Linked DNA regions of Nothobranchius furzeri. The protein of the gene in region 1 interacts with the protein of each later gene in a pairwise test. Links are inferred from orthologs where the notes say so. Each region holds a gene or a part of one and is shown in the gene's direction. Other genes may lie near its edges.

Region 1 (5,303 bases):
TGTTCTCCCTGTGTCCAGTTTAGATCCCCCTCATGTTGTTTTACTCAAACTGGAGAATCATCTGCTCCAAACCAGCAGCAGATGATTCCACATCTCATTGGTTAGTCACGTGATTTATTTATTTTTTTTGCTTAATCAAAATATTCAAGCTGCAGCTCGACTGTTTACAGAAACCCCACAAGTTCCTCATAATGTGTGTGTGAGTCACTCTGACCATGCGATCCGAGTGCATGGAGAAACGTGTTAAAGAAGCATGCAGGCTGTAAAATGAATGACCCGCTTTGATGCAGGAACAAAAATAGCTCGAGATGGATGTGCAGAAAGCAGAGGTGGCCACACAGAACCCACAAACAAAGATTTAGGTCATTGTGTAGATTCGTCAGACTGATCGGAGGCTGCAGGATCTCATTTATGTTGCAGACATCCACTTATGGATCTAACATCGCAGATCTTTGAAATTCTAATGACCTGGAGGCTTAAAATGATCATTCTTTGATTTGTTACCTGATGTCATTGAATTAATGTGATGAGCACATTTGGATATCAACTTCACAAAGAATGGATCAAAATGAAAGAAAAAAAAAGCGCTAGAAGACAAAAGGATGTTAGTGGTGAGATGCGAAACCTTGATGAAACCCATTTGTCGACTGCACAGAGGATAATTGAATATTGATGAATCTAGTTTCTTTATGGTTTACTTTGCACAGCAGGAACACCCATTAGACTGAGTTATGTCAGATGAAAGCAGCTAATGATCCTCTCAGACAGCGTTTGGGTTTTAATTGCAGCTAGATTGCTTTGCTGGCGTTGCACTGCTGAGCACAGTCAGGTACAAGCAACAGCTAGTTCAAGTCGACTATCACTAAACAAATCGGGATTATGAAAGCTGGGGTGCATAGCATGACGTCATCGTGGTGAGAAGGAAAAGATTTAGAAATTTGAACGGCTGAGAGCCATGCCTCACAAAGCTCTGTAGTGTGAACGCTAGCACTAAGTAATGTCTTTGATATGCTCCTGCTCAGACAAACCTAATTCTAACTGCTGAATTCAGCCTTCATCTGGTTGCAGCAGCTAATCACTCAGTTTAAACATATGTGGTGTTCAGCAGGGAAACCTCTAAAACGTGCAGGAATCTGGCTCTTCCAATGCTAGCACACCCTTGCTAATGCTGCAACAAGCAAAAACAGTCTGATAGCGTGAGATTGAATGCTACGCTAATCACTTAGCTCCAATACACACTAAATAATCGCCTCCCCTCCCTCCTCTTCTACAGGACTGAAATTTAGAATCTAGCTGAAATTTTCTTGTCAAGACAAAGGTTAGTAAAACCTGTCCATGACGCTTTTAACTCAAGTTAACTCAATGTTCTTGTTTTCAGAAAGCCTTTAAAATGATTTGCTGCTAAACTAACAGGGCTGACTCTGCTTCAACCACATTATTATCTGTGAAAACGACGAGCGGCAGCATTAGACATGGTCCGGCATTCATTGGTCAGTCATCCCGGAGGGGCTCGGAGTAGACCCGCTGCTCCTCCACATCGAGAGGAGCCAGTTGAGGTGGCTCGGGCATGTGGTCAGGATGTCTCCTGGACACCTCCCTTGTGAGGTTTTCTGGGCATGTCAAACCGGGAGGAGGCCTAAAGGTAGACCCAGGACAGGTTGGAGGGACTATGTCTCTCACCTGGCCAGGGAATGCCTTGGGATTCCCCCGGAGGAGCTGGCCCAAGTGGCTGGGGAGAGGGAAGTCTGGGTCTCTTGACTTAGGCTACTGCCTCCGCGACCCGACTCCAGATAAGCAGATGAAAATAGATGGATTGATAAAAACAATCATGGCTTGTGTGTGTAACAATTTTATCACTGATGAGTAAACCGTATTTGTCAGAATATTCCTGTTTCTTTTCCTGCATGCCGTAGAAAGTTCTCTTGCACATGTTCCATTCATTCTTTGTGTGCAATCTTTAGTTTTTGTGTCTTATTTTGATCTTTTTCTTCTTCACTGCTGATCTCTGTTTTCCTCAGACTTAGAGACCTCTGTGGACAGTCGGTGCACTACGGACAGTGCTGACAGTGCCTATTACGGCCGTCGTTACTGATTCCTGGCTTCTTCCTTTTTCCCTTCTTTCCAAATCACCCCATCCCCGGGAAGTAAGACGTCTGATCAGAAAGAAAGAGACTTTCTCTGTGTTTTGCTTTTTACTGGGTTCCATCATTTTGTTCATCTCTTTGTAATTTACATGAACTTTTTTACTTTCACCGTTTCCAGCCTGATCTCAGAGAAATTCAACATGCTTTGGCCTATTTGATATTAATTCAACAGTGGAATAGTGGTTTCACACGTCCGGCACCAGGAAACGGAGATTCAGAAGCTTTTCGGGTGAAATCCCATTTACGCTTGTCCTTTTTAGAGTTTTGTTGACTTTCACCAGCCTGGCTCTTCTTAACCCTTTTTACATGTTTATTCAGCTGTTGGCTTGCATGTAAAATGATGTATTTCTGTGCGACCAGCTGGCCTGTTTCCATCATCAGCAGCCCACATTACTGTTCCATTCGTTTTCCCTGTAAAGTGTCTTTTACTCTTTTATTTTGCATGTACTGAATATTTTATTCAGATTTTTAGTCTCCAGGCACCTCATTTGTTAGGAGTATTCTGGGATGTTTTTTATATTTTTTTATTGTTGGTTTTCAAGATCTGTGATGGCGCTCACTTTAAAGTGAGCCCAGTTGACTTATAAAACAAGCCTTTATCCTTACACGTGAAGCTAATAACTGTTTTTATTCATATTTGTTACATTTAGAAAGGATACCACAACCTTATGATGGTTAACTTCATGTGCCACAAATCCAACGTTCTTTATTTGATGAGAGTGCAAAACTGCAGGTTTGTCACAGAGCTGTGAGCGGAGAAGGGATGCGACGGTTTGGACTTCCACAAAAATGCCATTAATATTCTGACCTTGCAGAGTTGATGCTGTTTGCTGCAAAGCCTCACATAAAGTCCAACTCTGTTCCAGGATCCATTGTAAAGTTTGTAACTTCTAAACCCAACTGGTTTTTTTTTAATATTAATTTGAGATCTTCTGAAAGTTCCCAACAACATCAGAAGCAAGCATCGTGAGTCGAGGTCCTGAATCATTCCAACCGTGTCACTAATCTATTTAAATGAATCTTTGAATGCTCCTTTAGTCCTGGAAACAAGATGCAAAGCTTGTTGCTCTCACAGCCACGTTTCTCCTCAGCTGGAGTCTTTTACTTCCCACAAAACCTAAAGTACCTTTAGCTGCCTGTCGAAAAAAGCACGCTCTTGGCATCAAAATGTGTCTTAAAATTCACAGCCGTCATGTGTGAAATCCATGGCGCTCATCAGACGGGATCAGAAAATAACTTATTGCTCCATCGACTCATTCATGTTTTATGACCGTATAGACCCCTGGACCAGAAGTGGAAGGGCGTGATTTAGGCTCCCAATAGAGTTGCTGTGGCGCCAAGGCCAACGTGATCGGATGTGAATGAAAAATGTCCTCAGACAAGATTTGAATGTTTTTGGCGTGTCTCTGCAGGGTTTCCTACTGTATCACGAAACAGAGATGCCTATCAGTCTATCGACCAGCCGGACGAGTCCTCGAGTCCAGCGAACCCCTTCAACCAGGCCCAGGACAGCAAACCAGGAGTCCGCGCTTACTGAGTCGAGCAGGACTTTACCAAAGCTGTCCTGTCCTCATGGATTCACATTGCAACACATGATGCACCTGTGAGATCAAAAGTCAAATCAAAACTTAAAATTTTGCTGAATAAACATCTGTTTGGGTCTCATAGTGTGTTTATGAGCTGAGTTGCTCTTGCGTTGGAAGAGGGACTCCTGAACACACAGTACGACGAAAGTCTCGTGCTCTTTGTTTCGTTAGTTTTTTACTAATGTGGCACTTACAAACAACTGACTCCATGTTTAGCTCAAAATTAGGATGAGTTTGTATTCAGGACTTTACTGGGCAGAATGGTTGGAAGCATTGGACAGACTGGGAAATGTTATGAAATCCCCCAGATGATTTGAACAGCTAAAGCATTTAGGGGGCATTCTTTAAGAGGAAGCAGCTTTTGGCAGATTCACCTGCAATTTATTTATCCTAAAGTTTACTATCTGATAAACAACTATTTATTCTACTGCCATCAGACAAAAAAATGTCCGTTCTTTGCATAATGACCCCAATGATGAGCTCAATCTATCGTGCGAAGAAACAAACTTTCTGCTCTTAGACTCGTCAGCATAAACACTCTGTGTGTGTGAAGTCACTGTTTTAATGAACACAGGTCACACACTATGCTACACGTGTTTAGTTTTAACTAATTTAATCAGAAATGTTAAAGGTGTCATGAACTAAATATGAGTTGAAACAAATGTGCAGTTTCTCACATCATTCCAAAAGCATTCCTTGAAGGTTGCACTTTCAGGGTGCAAATTGCACAGCAGTGCTGCACAATAAAGATAGAGACCCTGTTGCTGCTGTCATTACTGGCCCGTTGCATCATTAAGATGTTTTTGTCATGCATTTTATTTTTTTATGTAGTTCAAAGTTCTCTCTTGGAAAACCTTGTAATCTGTGCGTTGGATGTGGTTACTGTGCTGAAATGACCTGTGATGTCATAACTTCCTTTTACCCAAATATGCAGCTCTAGTTTTGCTCTGTTGAATAAAAGCCTATAAAATGTTTTTCTGTCAACAGGAGCCACCTTCTGATGGGTTGTTTTATGCATTTTGCTACAGAGACATTTCACCTGAATATCTTCTTTTGATATTGTCAAAACTGTTCAGCTCCACTAAATATTCTGCATTAAATGAATACATTTGGTACACCTCCTTTAATTTTCCAACATGAGACTGTTTCCTGCTTAGTTTGCATTTAATATTTCATGAAATCTCTTAGAATAAAGAAATATGAAATATACAGTTGCGTTGGTTACGTCTTCATGTGCAGCCTGTCAGAGCTGTAAAGACCATCCTGTCCGTGCAAGATGACACATTTATGTCCCAGCTTCCTTGTGTGAAACATTTTTCACACTCCAGAATTACATCACATCAACCAGCTTTTGTCTGTTAACTAAACTCGTACTTTCTGCACAAACCACACACTGCAACACACAACTTGGCACAGAAATGTCAAAATTAGTAAAGGGAATAATGAGAATTTATTTATTTTCCGCTCCCTCCAACACTGAAAGTATGAAAAGTGTCATTTTATATTTATTTAAGGACAAGGAAAAGCAAGTATTCCTCTGAGGATTAGGTGATTTTGTGCACACAGATCATGA
Region 2 (6,539 bases), on another chromosome or scaffold:
TTAATAAATGATTTTCATGCAGCAAAGTAATGAACAAGTGTTTTTAATACCTTAGATCATTTTCTGACTGTTGCAATTATGCCAGCCAAAATGACTGAGTGCTAAACTAATGACTATGGATATAAATGCATGGGGAAGGGGTGTGTGTTTGCTGGAATATCACAAACTGCAATTACGAGTACATCTTTCTCCTCCCCAGCACTCTTTGTGAACTTTTTGTTTACTTTTAAAGTAATCAGATGAAATCTTCATTTAAAGAGCAAGTCACCCCCTACCAGAGTCTAACTCCACTCCCACTTCATGTTTGAAAAATGCAACAAATACTGTTGCCTGGCAGACCGAGAAGGCGGAGCCACTAACAAATACACACACACACAGGCTCATGACAGCATTGTGACATCATAATGTACCAGTTTACATCATAGCATACCTCTTAGCCAATAGCGATGGCAGATTTAAATTAAAATACAGTGCAGAGTTTTTACCTGACAACGGCACAACACTGCCAGTTTTAGGCAAAATATTTAAATTAGATGAACTGAAGTGCCAAATTATTGACTACATGTGTCTGCAGCATGATTAGACACTCGTTTCTTTTGTTTATCAGCAAAAAAGTTTATTTGGGGGTGACTTGCTCTTTAACTATCTGAATGAAAGGGTGAATGTTAATTAATAGTTTATATTTTAGCAATAGTTTAATAAAATAAAAAAATAATCAGTTGTATATGGGTTTGTTACAGTCAGACACACCTATGCTGTCTAACATTTAAGGTGGTAAAGAATTTGTTCATTTCACCAAATAAATTAACTAAATATTTTATTTAAACTTTATAAAAAATGTCACCTGGCAGACTTTTCAGTAATTTAATCAAAAAGTATTTTAAAATGCCTCAAAATTTGTTAAAATTTAGCTAAATCTTGGGGGGGCGTAACCCGGATGTGGATTTTACGTAAGCCTTTTTGCTTCCGGTGTCACCATCATACGTGACCCCCGGCTGAAAAGAAGAGCGGCTTCTTTCATAACATTAACTCTGGTTTATTTTCCGATACGTAAGTTGCCTCTTGATGATTTTTAAACGTTTCTACATCTGCGTTGCTGCTTTCACACGTAGCCAGATTACTCTACGCCTGCGGTGGTGTGCGCCAGGCTGTTTGAACGTAAGGTCAGCGCTAACTCACGCCGCTAAAATAAGCTAACCACTAGCTTCCACAGAGATGAGTGACTTTCTTTTAGGCCAGCCATTTTCTACAGGCCGCTGAACATCAGATGGATTTGCAATATTATACCGTTTCATCTGAGGAAACCGGATTACACAACCGTTACAGCAACCTAACGGAAAACGCCTGCTCGCGGGAATAATCTGTTAATTCTGTCGCTGCCGTGGCGGACGCGACCGCTACAACAACGTGCAAAAGTTTTAAACCACGTTTAATTTTTTTATATGCAGTCTCCTGTGAGCCAGGCCTCTTTGTGTTATTAAAATGATTGTTTTCCTGTTCCCCAGCTATGTGACGGTTTACTAAGTGTTATTTTAGCTTTTTGGCAGCGTTTTCCAGGCCCTGTACCAGACACGTTGATCAGTTTAAGCTTGAACAAACAGGAATGTTTACAGGTGAGGCACAACAGCAGAGTCAGACCTAAAAATAATACGGTGGAGCTTCTTAAAGTAGTTTTTTGAAGAAAGAAACCTAATTACGTTTTAAGAGGGCCTTAGAGAGATGCATTAATCCATAGGTGATGTCTGGGATTCACCTTGTTGGAGCTAAAGTGTGTGAATGAGAGAGAGAGAGAGACCCTCCGCTCTCGTGACCATCTGTGCAGGTTGATCATCACATTTCTCATGTCTGTACCGGCGTCTCCCATCTGTCCTCCAATCAGGTTCCAGGGTGGCTCCCCCCTCCATGTGTGATCCCTGATGGGCAGCTGGTCTCGCAGTGCCGTGCTGGAGCTGTACAGGGCGCTGCTCCGCGCCGGACGCCACCTTCAGTACACAGACAGGAACTACTACCGCCGGGCCGTGGCTCGGGAGTTCCGGCGCTGCCGGGACCTGAGCGTGCCTGAAGACAAGGAAGAGGCGCTGAAGAGAGGCCAGTTCTTCCTCAGCAGTGGGCTGGGTGGGCTTATGTAGGGGAGGGGGCTCCGTGAGCCGTCTGGAGGTGCGTCACTCAGGTGGGTTCACGCAGAGAAAACACCCCACAGCATGGCGGCTGTTTGGGTCACTTCTGATCTGGTTTTGTCTCGGCCAGCAGAGGGATGGCGGGGGTGAACGGTGACCGTAAAGGAAAAAAAGACGACAACGGCCTCGGGACAGCCATCGACTTCATGCTCTCCAATGCTAAGCTGGTGCTGGGGGTGGGCGGGGCGGCCATGCTCGGCATTGCGACGCTGGCTATGAAACGAGTAAGTGTGAAGATCTCGATCGGCGTGGCGCGTGAAAGCGGTCTGCTTCAGCTCACCTGATTGTTGCTGTACAGATGTATGACCGCGCCATGAGCGCCCCCACCAGCCCCACCAAGATGGAGAAAACTGGGAAGAGGAGCTGGGAGGAGCCTGCCTGGATGGGGTCATCCCCACGAGTACTGAACCACGACATGAAGTTCACGGTCAGCAGGTCCCTCCAGTCGCTGCCCACTTCCTCACATTCCATTGAACCAGGTGAGGCGAGAGCTCGGTTTTTTTATGTCGTAACATTCGTGGTCGTAGGCTTGACTTTCAGCCACGCGTCTTGTTTTAATCTTTCAACAGACGGCCTCCTTGGAGGATTCTTCCTCTTTCTTTACAGTGGGTTGCCTTCTGTCTCCCCGCAGGCCCCAAACTCACCTCTTCTGGTGGTTTAGTGGGATTAGCTGTAGAGGAGTAGAACCGTCATGTCAGAGTAGTGAAATAATCTAGGGTTGTCACGGTATGAAAATTTAACCTCACGGTTATTGTGACCAAAATTATCACGGTTTTCGGTATTATCGCGGTATTTTTTAAACGGTGTTGCATATGTTCAGAAAGCATTGATAGTCCTGTTCTACACAAACTGAAATAGTTCTGAAAAGGTTTAACAGTGTTTATTAAACCTAAAATAACACAAAGCCTTAGCAAAAGTGCAACTTTTCACAAGTAAAGGAACAAATAGCTTATTTTTCTGGAACATGTTACAGTAGTCAGTGCAGGTTTAAATGATACAAATCCAAACATTCAAAACATAAACAATATGTAAACAAATCAAAGAAACACCACTTGTTTTCTCATATACTTGTTTTCTTCATTATCAAAATGAAAATCTAAAACTCCAGTCCACACTTGACTTGAGCACTGTACAAGTCAACCTTAAAAAAATATGTATTTAAAACAAATAGCCACTTTAAACAAATTACTAAAATAACTACTACACTATGTAATCAAATCCAAATGTTCAAGTATAAATGGCATTGAATAAGTAAACAAATCAATGACAAGGAACTAATTGTATATTTCTCTTCATCATCAACAAATAAGATGCTTCATCCAGCAACAGGGTGTCCGTGACACGGTTTAAATGCTGGCAGAGGACGCTGCGGCTGCAGTATATAGTGACTCGTTGCATTCTCCGTCAACCAAAAGTCCTCGCGTCATGCATTTCAGCTAAAATGCTAATGTTAACTTACCTTGCACTGGCTGTAGAGACGTGGGTGATCGTCACGCAGATGTGCCATTAGATTCGAAGTGTTGCTGCCTTTTGCAGACACTTGTTTCCTGCACGTTCTGCAAACGGGATAGCAGTCTTCTATTAACTGTCCCTCAGCATTTTTCAGAAATCCCAAATATGCCCATACTTCCGATTTAGTCTTCTTTGGGGGCTGATGGATGTCCTGGGCGCTGCCGTCTCCTCCTTCGGCCATTATTTCAGCTTCAAAGTTTTGGTGCCGTTGCAAATTAAAAAGTGCGTGTGCGCGCCGCGGGAACTTCAGCTGAAGCGACGGTGGCTGGTAAGGGTCATCGCGCCGAAACCGCGGCCACGGTAAACCCACCGAGATAATATAGTTTTTTAAAAACTGGACGGTTATTTTTATTGTCAACTTTTTTACCGGGGTTTACCGCTATACCGGTTACCGTGACAACCCTAAAATAATCTCCTTCCTCCTCCTCAAACGTTATTTTCTTCTACAGGAGTTGTTTAAACTTGTCTTTTTCACACATGTTCAGATGGTCTGAGGAGAGCTGTGGGTCGCTCTGCCGCGGGACGAGGCGGCTCCGCCCAGTCCGACCTGCTGCGGGCTCGGATGCGTCTCTCCCTGCAGGAACGCCTGTGGGACTTCTACCGGAACTGGGTCAACATCTCTGCCGAGGAGCAGGCTCTGGCCAGGAAGGCGGCTCTGGACATCTGCGCCGAGCTCAGGGTGTTTCTTCACGCCAAACTCCCGGACATGCCGCTGCGGGAGATGTACCTGAGTGGAAGTCTGTACGACGACCTGCAGGTGAGCAGCTTTAGCTCATTATCGTTTGGAGTGACACACAATCGCAGATCGGTTCTGAGTCTGATCTCCTCACAGGTGGTGACGGCGGACCACGCCCAGCTGATGGTGCCTCTGGTCCTGGAGAAGAACCTGTGGTCGTCCATTCCCGGGGAGGACACCATCATGAACGTTCCTGGGTTCTGGCTCGTCCGCAGGGAGAACCTGGAATATTTCCCAAGGAACAGCAGCTACTGGGACCGCTGCATGGTGGGGGGTTACCTCTCCCCTAAATCGCTCCTTGAGGTTTTCGACAAGCTGGTCTCCGGCTCCATCAACTGGCCGGCCATCGGGAGCGTCCTGGATTACATCATCCGTCCCGTGGTTCCCTCTGAGACCCTGACCCTTGAGGTCCAGTATGAGGCAAACCGGAGGCTTTATGTGGACTTCCTGCCTTTGCTCGTGATGGAAGACGGAACGTCGCTCATCGCCAAACCGCACCGGCTCGCTGCGGAGCGCCACGAGAACCTGTGGCGGCAGAGCTTCCGCGTGGGTGAGACGGCGCGCCTCAGGGCACTGGATCAGGAGGACGGCGGCTGCCGGTGCACCTGCCTGAAGGTGGCCAAGGCCGTATGCAAGCTGGACCCCGCCCTGAACCGACTCAACTCCAGCCAGCTCACCAACGCCATCCTGCTGCTGAGCCAAAAGGAAGGAGACTGGACGCAGGACGCGCTGGCTGACCGCTTCCTGCAGCTGCTGCGAGCTCTGGTGGAACACCTGGAGGCCGGGAGGCTGCCCTGCGCCCTCGCTCCTAAAGTCAATCTGTTCTGCGAGCTGACCGAACAGGAAGTGGACGAACTGGGCTACACGCTCTACTGCGCCCTCTCAGATCCCGAAGGGCTTCTCAGAACCGCAGAACCACACCTCCCCTAACAGGAAACCGGCGCTGAGACGGAAGCGTCGGGTTAAACATTCATCAGAAACAAAAACGCTGCATGAGACGGGTCTCGTGTCGGGCCGGTCTGACTCTTCACATCACAGCTGTTCGTATCCAAACATCTCAGAGGAGAGCGGAGGGACTTCTCAGAGCCGTTGCATTAAACCGGACTGAGCATGCTCAGTGGAGGGCAAACCAAGGCTTCAGAGCATTTTAGTAACAAGTGTTCCAACGGGTTTGTGTCGCAGCACCAACAGACCAAAACGTGTGTGTGTGTGTGTGTGTGTGTGCCAACAGTACCGAGCTCTGGACCGGACTCATAATCCGGGTGGGTCTGCTTCCCCTCCGCCATCCTTAAAGTTCTCCACTTCTAAATCGAGTTTCGTTCATATTCTGGTCTCTTGGATCGCGTGTGGGAGACGTGGCGTGTTTCAGGTAGCTGCAGTTGCGCGAGTCACCGTCATGAGTAAAAAATAGAATGAAATATAGAACAAAAGATGGACGACGGGAAACAATTTTAAAAGAATAAAATGTGGATAATTGAAACCCCAGCCAATGAGTAGCCTGACTTAGCCGTGGGGGTCATGTGACGTCACACACAGAGGCTCTGTTATAAACTGGAGGTTTGTGGTTCCGTGTTCCCGTCGGTGCCGTGGATCAGGATCACGGGAAGATCTGACGCTTCTGCTGGAGCTGTTCTGACCCGCTGGGTTGAAGCCGTTGGCGCTTCCTGAACATCTTTTGTTGTGAATCTAAGTCTTTAAACCAGTATCTCACTGGGCTGTAACTGGTGGGGACAGCCTTAGGGCCTTTATTCTTTACCTGCTCGGATCCGTTGTCTTGGTGTGGTACGGCAGCACACGAGCGACCTATCGTCTACGTACCGTACGTTAAGGCAAATCCTTACAGGAAGTGCTGTAACTCGCCTGAATCTGATGGTAGCGGAGCCCCGAGTGCCTCCTGATTTCCTGTCTCCATCTTCTCAGTGAGGTTCTGGTTTTAACCCTACGGTCACTAAACCCCAGCAGGAGTCCGCCTTAAACCGCGATGAACGGATCGGTGCAGACGCGGCGCTCAGAGGATCCTCGGTTACACAACAGTAGCTATTTTAGCCAAAGTGTTCGTTAAAGCGTCTTAAACCAAGCTTGCCGAGTCGTATTAAGTCAGCTGAAGCGCTGTG
Region 3 (6,156 bases), on another chromosome or scaffold:
CACACAGGTGGGATCTATCAACAGTTGATTGTGGAGGAAGGTGTGCATGAGTGGTTTGATGAATCAGGATTTTGGATTTTCGTAGGAACATTCTAAATGTCCTTCAGGAATATAGGAGAGTTTCTATGAATGAGGGCCCAGGTGACCTGACCTCTCATCCTGAAGCTTCTGCTGCAAAACAAGCCGTGGAGAAACTTTTACCTTTTCCTGCCGTTTCTCAAAAGATGATTTTAATTCGGATTTTTCTGAACTTGAAGCTTTTCCTCCAAAAATCTCCTCCATGTCCTCCCCCTCACTGCTCTCTTCTCCAGAGAGGTCAAAGGTCACCTTCTTGTGAGCTGCTTTGGAGCGACTTTCTTGCTCATCCCTGAGGAAAACATTTTTTTAATGAGTTGGAATTCACAGAACAAGCTTCCCCCCTCACCACAGCACAAATTAGACCCAGATCGACTCACTCATCGTTGTCCTCTTCATCACGATAATCACCATCTTCTTCTTCTTCCAACTCTTCTTCATCCTCTTCCTCACTCGCATCATCATCTCCATCTGACTGGTCATCAGTCTTAGCTGGTTTGCCCCCCACAGCACCAAAAAAGTCCTTGTACCTGAGATCTCTGGAGCTTTTTACCTGCTGTTAGAAAATAAACATTTATTTGTCTCTTCCATATGATCAGAGCCCAAAGTGATGAGTGATAAAATCATACCGCGTGTTTCTTCGGCTTTTTTGAGGACAGTATTTCACCGAGGTCAAAATCGTCATCCTCATCCGAGTGCAGGTCTTGGAAGTAGTCAACATTGTTGTCGCCATCCTCCTCTCTTCCTTCTCGCTTGTCCATTTCATCAAGAAATGACTCCATTTCTGACAGTTTGAAGAACTTATCGTCAACTTCTGAGGGAACCAGTTTTGTTTTGGAGCCTGCCCGTGCACTCGCTTTCTTCTTCTCTCGTTTCTCCAGAGCATCCACATCAAAATCTATATCCGAGTCATCTTCTGAGCCCTGCTCTGACCCTTCTTCAGCTTCCACAGCCTTTTTCTTTTGCATTCTAGGAGGAATTTTAATTACATTTTCATCATTATTCATTTCTTCTTCGCCTTCATCACCACTTTTTTCATCTTCTACCACCTCTTCCTCTGGCAGCAAAGTTAATGCCTCATCTGACAATGCTCCTTCAATAGATTTAGTGAAATATGTCAGCACAGCTTCATTCTGGAGCTCTAGCTCCTGCCAAATCTGCTCCTCGTCAAAGTTGTCCACAATGAGCTGAGCCAGCGGGCTGCCTTTACAATCTGAAGGCTCCTGGGATTTGTGGAGGTCATACAGGGTCTTCGTGAGGGAGGTAAATTCTGCTGCAGCACCATCTTGAAGGCTGAAAAGTAGAAAAACAATCAGTGAGACAAACGTGTTGCAGGGAAAGAGGTTCTTTTGAAAATGACCACTGGTTTGAACTCAGCGCAGCTTTCATCTGTGACAGCCAACTATCATACAACATCCATGCTGTTTACCAAAACTCATGATGGTGAAAATGGTTAGAAATTAATCATCAAAGCAAAATTAAATAAGGAAAAAAGGACAAAATCTTGGATATCATGCAAACAACCTTTGTCTGTAAATCATAGTTTTAAATGTTTTAGTTATATTGTATGGCAACATAAGCATTTAGGTCCTTAAACGAGAACAGACACATCCAGATCAAATTAGACCATAAGACTATGTGATCATTTTGAGGCACCACTGTCCAGTTACTTCAGATAATCTAGCAGGTTAATGTTATTTCACGGATGGATTAACCTCTCGTCTCACAATATCTCGAGTTTTATTATTATTAGCTTGCTGTACTGTTGGTGTCACTCAGCTACAGCCTTTAGTCAGAGACAGATCATAAAACCAAATAAATCCTAATTTTCGATATTAGCTGTCACCGATTGTGTCAAATCTAATAAAATGACATTTTCTTTCATTTAATTTAATAAAAAAAGTGACTCTAAATCTGAAAGAAAGCCGTTCTCAACTATTTTATTTAAATAAGTTTAACCTAACAGCTCTCTAAAGTATTTGCTAGCATTAGCATTTAGCTTTAGCCGATGATTGGTCAAGTAAATATCTCGTTTAAAAGAATAAAACTTTAGTAAAATAATGCAGAACACTCGCCTTAGAAAGTTTTCTGGTTGTGCCGTGTTAACATTTATCGTTTTGACACAATCCTCCAGTACGGCCCACATTTCTGCACCCGCCATGTTTTCCTACACATGTGTAGCCGAAAGTGTTGCAGGTAAACAGGCCCGACCAGAAACGCGTCCGCCGCTACAGATTGGTTCCTACGTAAAAACAAAATAATAATGAAAATGGCGACGTCGCTGCTGAAGGTTGCAGGTTTGTTTATATCGATAAAAGCTAACTGCTACAGTCAGGCTTCTCTCCGGTGCATTCTGCCTTGACAAATAAGAGTGTATAGTTGCCGATAGTTGCTCTCCAAATCGTCTCTCTCGACTTAAGCGCAACTCGCGATGTGTTGTGTTTACTTTCTTTTTGCGTTTTCAGGTTAAAAATGAGAAGATACAGTCAAAACTAAATGTTTTTATGAATACATTTCTATAAATATTACATTTCTATAAATATTGTCTGTCTTTCTATCGTAGTGAGTACCCTCAGTGACTTCCATTCATTTATGTGACTCCACTATGCCTAACTCATACCCATACCCTAACCATAACCAATGCTGATCTGTTCCTAACCCTAACCTTAACCAAAACTTAATTCACACCAGACCTCAAAAACCAACTGGTAAGCTTAAAAAAAACGAGGACCAAAACATGTCCTCAATTTGTGGGGAAAATGGTCAAAATGGTCCTCAGTATGTACACACACACACACACACACACACACACACACACATACAAGTATCTCAAATTAAAATATCTTAAATTATAAATTGTTTCCTGAATCATGTATGTGACACAGTTTAGTACATTTTTTAAATAAATTCACGTCTGTGGTACAAAAACATTCACCAAAACCGTACGTTTCATATCCCTGGTGCTTCCTGGATTTAAGGAGTTTTGTGTAAATATTAAACATTAAAATGTATCCGGAATATATCCATTTAAAGAAGTGATAGTGGTTTATTCAGTATCTAATGCTGTTTATCTAAACAGCTCAGCTCTTAATTATTTTTACATTATTTTTATTTTATTGTGTTTATTCAGTGGCAGGAATTTCCAGATGTTCTGGCGTTTCCCTCCTGAGGTCACATTCGACGACAGCGCCACTTCCTGGGTCTCTGTGGAAATTGGGGAAGCTGAACCATGTAGCCATTGCCGTCCCTGACATGGAGAAGGCCACGGCCTTGTATCGCGATGTGCTCGGAGCCACGGTGAGCGAAAAGGTGCCTTTGCCTGAGCACGGTGTCTACACGGTGTTCGTGGAGCTGGGCAACACCAAGCTGGAGCTGCTCCATCCTCTGGGGGAGAAGAGCCCCATCTCTGGTTTCTTACAGAAGAACAAGTCCGGAGGGATGCACCATGTCTGTATCGAGGTGAGAGACATCGACGGCGTGAGTCAGAAGACGCAACACATATTTACCCCGCTAATAACATACTGATTTATGCAACTATAATTAAACCACTGACATCTTTCCTGTCACATCAGGAGCAAAACAGTCTGCAGCACGGATACACCTTAGTGGACTAGTCCATAATAGTTCATAAAGGGTTTGTGTGTAATTTTGTGAAATTAAAAGAGGTTAATGACGGGTGATTTTGTGTTGACGCTGTACTTTTCCCACTCAGAGGTTCAATAGGGTAGTAACCCAGTGATTCTAGTTAGATTAATGATTAACTACGTTTTCCGCCTGTTTGCAGGTAGATGACATTAATGCTGCAGTGGCCGATCTGAAAGCAAAGAACATCAGAACTTTGTCAGCGGAGCCGCGAATAGGCGCTCACGGGAAGCCGGTCATGTTTCTCCATCCTAAAGACTGTGACGGGGTGCTGGTGGAGTTAGAAGAAGCGTGAACGTCGGGGACCGAAGACGCCTTCGTGTCCATTTACTCCATCATTACTTAGATGATTGCAGGGATGCGAGTGCTGATTGCTGGTTGTGATGTTCCTGTTTTGTTCTGGCTTAGGTCTAGTGTGATGTGTGACCATTTCTATAAAAGCTCTTGCAAAGCATTGCTTAGGGATTCTTTCGTGGGTGTGTGCTTGCTTTATTGTCTCTTCATTGTCCAGCAACAATCTAGTAACATGGTTTCACACAACAGCATGTTTTACAGCTCATATTTCAAATACGGATAAACAGTACCTTGCACATGTTCCAAGGCATCTTTTATTTATATCGAACACTTCATACAGAGAAGCAATTCAAAATGTTTTCCAGGAGCAAGAACATAAAACAGCAGATTTTAAAATGTAATTTAAAGAGCAAGTCACCCCCAAATCAACTTTTTTTCTGATAAACTATATAAATGTGTGTCTAATCGTGCTGCAGACACGTGTAGTCAATAGTTTTGCACTTAACTGCATTTTAGTTAATATTTAAATTTTCTGCCTAAAACTCAGTGTTGTGCCGATGTCAGGTAAAAACTCTGCACTGCATTTGAAATTAAATTTGCCATCGCTATTGGCTTGGGCACATGGCGCGCGCACACACACACACACACACACACACACTGATGTGCTGTAAAAGAAAAACAAGTTGTAGAATGCTTCATGTTTAATCTATTCCGGAACAATAAGGATAAGAAAACAATTTCAAATGCAGCCCAAAAGCTTGTTAATATTTACCTCATTCTGTTTTATTTGTGACAGATTGAAAAATGTGAGTTTTTTTCTGGTTAGGGTTGACATCAGGGTTCTGATGTGAAAGTCTAAGCTGTAGACTAAGCTACAAAGGAAGCCTGATCTCTTCTGCGCTTTAATATGCCTCTTCGTACATCAGGAACATTTTCTCACCTGGCCTCAGTAACTGATGCAGAATAAAATACCAAAGTACATTTAAAGGCTTAAAACAATCAAGATGTCATAAACAAAGGAGGAACCTTGTATACAGAGGCTAAGGCTGTGATCCCGGGTTGTGCTGCAGCATTTTTGAAGGTGTTGACAAAAACAGATCCTAGACTGGTGCCGTAGCCACGTAGAAACAAAAGCCTGTTTATTCACCAGGAGGAATGATTTTAGTGGGTAGAAATTCATCTTTGATATCAGCATTTTCTTTTCTTTGCTCAAAAGAAAGCACATTATGGTGGAACGGTTGTGGTCTTTCTGCAGGGTTGGCATGTTCTCCCCAGGGTGCTCTGGCTTCCTCCCACAGACCAAAACATGCATGTTAGGTTAATGGAGACTCGACATTGTCCCGAAGAAGATATTTATTTCTAGAAAACTTTTCACAGATAAAATCACAAAGTGCTTCACAAAAACGGTAAAAATATAAAAGTGATACATTAAAAACTAATTCTAATAAAAGGTAAAAGAGACGGGGGATGCTTGTCTGAAAAGAAGCTTTTTCAGCTGCATCCTAAATGAACAATTAGTCAGCAAGGCTTTCCACAGTTTTGGGGCCACGGCCTCAAATGCCATGTCTCAGGTTCTAAAGCGGGTCGTAGGGACCATGAGAAAGTTCTGGCCCCAGGGCCGGAGCTAGCGACCAGTGTGTGCGTGTGAACCTGATGGACTGGTGACATGCCCAGGGTGTCCCGGCCCCTCGCCTGCTGGGAATGGGAACCAGCCCCCCTCGACCCTACCGAGTTAAAGTCCAGTATTAAACATGTGGATCATAAAGCAAACACTTCCAAAGAGGAAAAATCATTTCTGTGATTTCAGAGCAACTGCAGCTCTCTGTTCTGATGGGGAGAAATGGACTTTTGAAAATGTTGACATTAGCAAAATGAACAAAATGTCAAAATTAATTACAGCTGAATCAAACGGGAGCAAAAATCAAATATTTGTTCACTCAAACCCAAAAGAAAACAGGAAACAGATGATTGCAAAAGCTGCCGACGCATTAACATTTGACTCATTCCCTGTTTGGTTTTATTGGACAACTCAGAAAAGCCCAGCAGACTTTAACCCGCAGACAAAAAAATACAAATTAACCTCTACAGAAATATGAGGGAAACTTCATGTACACTTATTGTCCTCTCTGCTCTGAAGAAACGCTC

Evidence for each region. The genes of interacting proteins can lie anywhere in the genome.
Region 2: the proteins of agtrap (region 1) and mief1 interact in binary tests that used the Homo sapiens proteins (3 or more experiments, as listed by UniProt). The two-hybrid records come from large-scale screens. The link is inferred for Nothobranchius furzeri from reciprocal best matches to the Homo sapiens genes AGTRAP and MIEF1.
Region 3: the proteins of agtrap (region 1) and mcee interact in binary tests that used the Homo sapiens proteins (3 or more experiments, as listed by UniProt). The two-hybrid records come from large-scale screens. The link is inferred for Nothobranchius furzeri from reciprocal best matches to the Homo sapiens genes AGTRAP and MCEE.

Annotation. Positions count from the first base shown.
Region 1 is NC_091743.1:75,226,360-75,231,662, forward strand, and holds the end of agtrap (type-1 angiotensin II receptor-associated protein), read left to right. Parts: intron 1-3,556; coding exon 3,557-3,681; 3' UTR 3,682-3,803; downstream 3,804-5,303. UniProt on the Homo sapiens protein: Appears to be a negative regulator of type-1 angiotensin II receptor-mediated signaling by regulating receptor internalization as well as mechanism of receptor desensitization such as phosphorylation.
Region 2 is NC_091752.1:65,048,218-65,054,756, reverse strand, and holds mief1 (mitochondrial dynamics protein MID51), read left to right. Parts: upstream 1-2,254; coding exon 2,255-2,401; intron 2,402-2,475; coding exon 2,476-2,656; intron 2,657-4,174; coding exon 4,175-4,446; intron 4,447-4,521; coding exon 4,522-5,355; 3' UTR 5,356-5,653; downstream 5,654-6,539. Other genes in the region: mitochondrial ribosome and complex I assembly factor AltMIEF1, read left to right, coding at 1,917-2,129. UniProt on the Homo sapiens protein: Mitochondrial outer membrane protein which regulates mitochondrial fission/fusion dynamics.
Region 3 is NC_091749.1:64,482,886-64,489,041, reverse strand, and holds mcee (methylmalonyl-CoA epimerase, mitochondrial), read left to right. Parts: upstream 1-2,267; 5' UTR 2,268-2,338; coding exon 2,339-2,372; intron 2,373-3,205; coding exon 3,206-3,534; intron 3,535-3,859; coding exon 3,860-4,012; 3' UTR 4,013-4,171; downstream 4,172-6,156. Other genes in the region: mphosph10 (U3 small nucleolar ribonucleoprotein protein MPP10), read right to left, coding at 202-367, 456-631, 705-1,368, 2,151-2,236. UniProt on the Homo sapiens protein: Methylmalonyl-CoA epimerase involved in propionyl-CoA metabolism.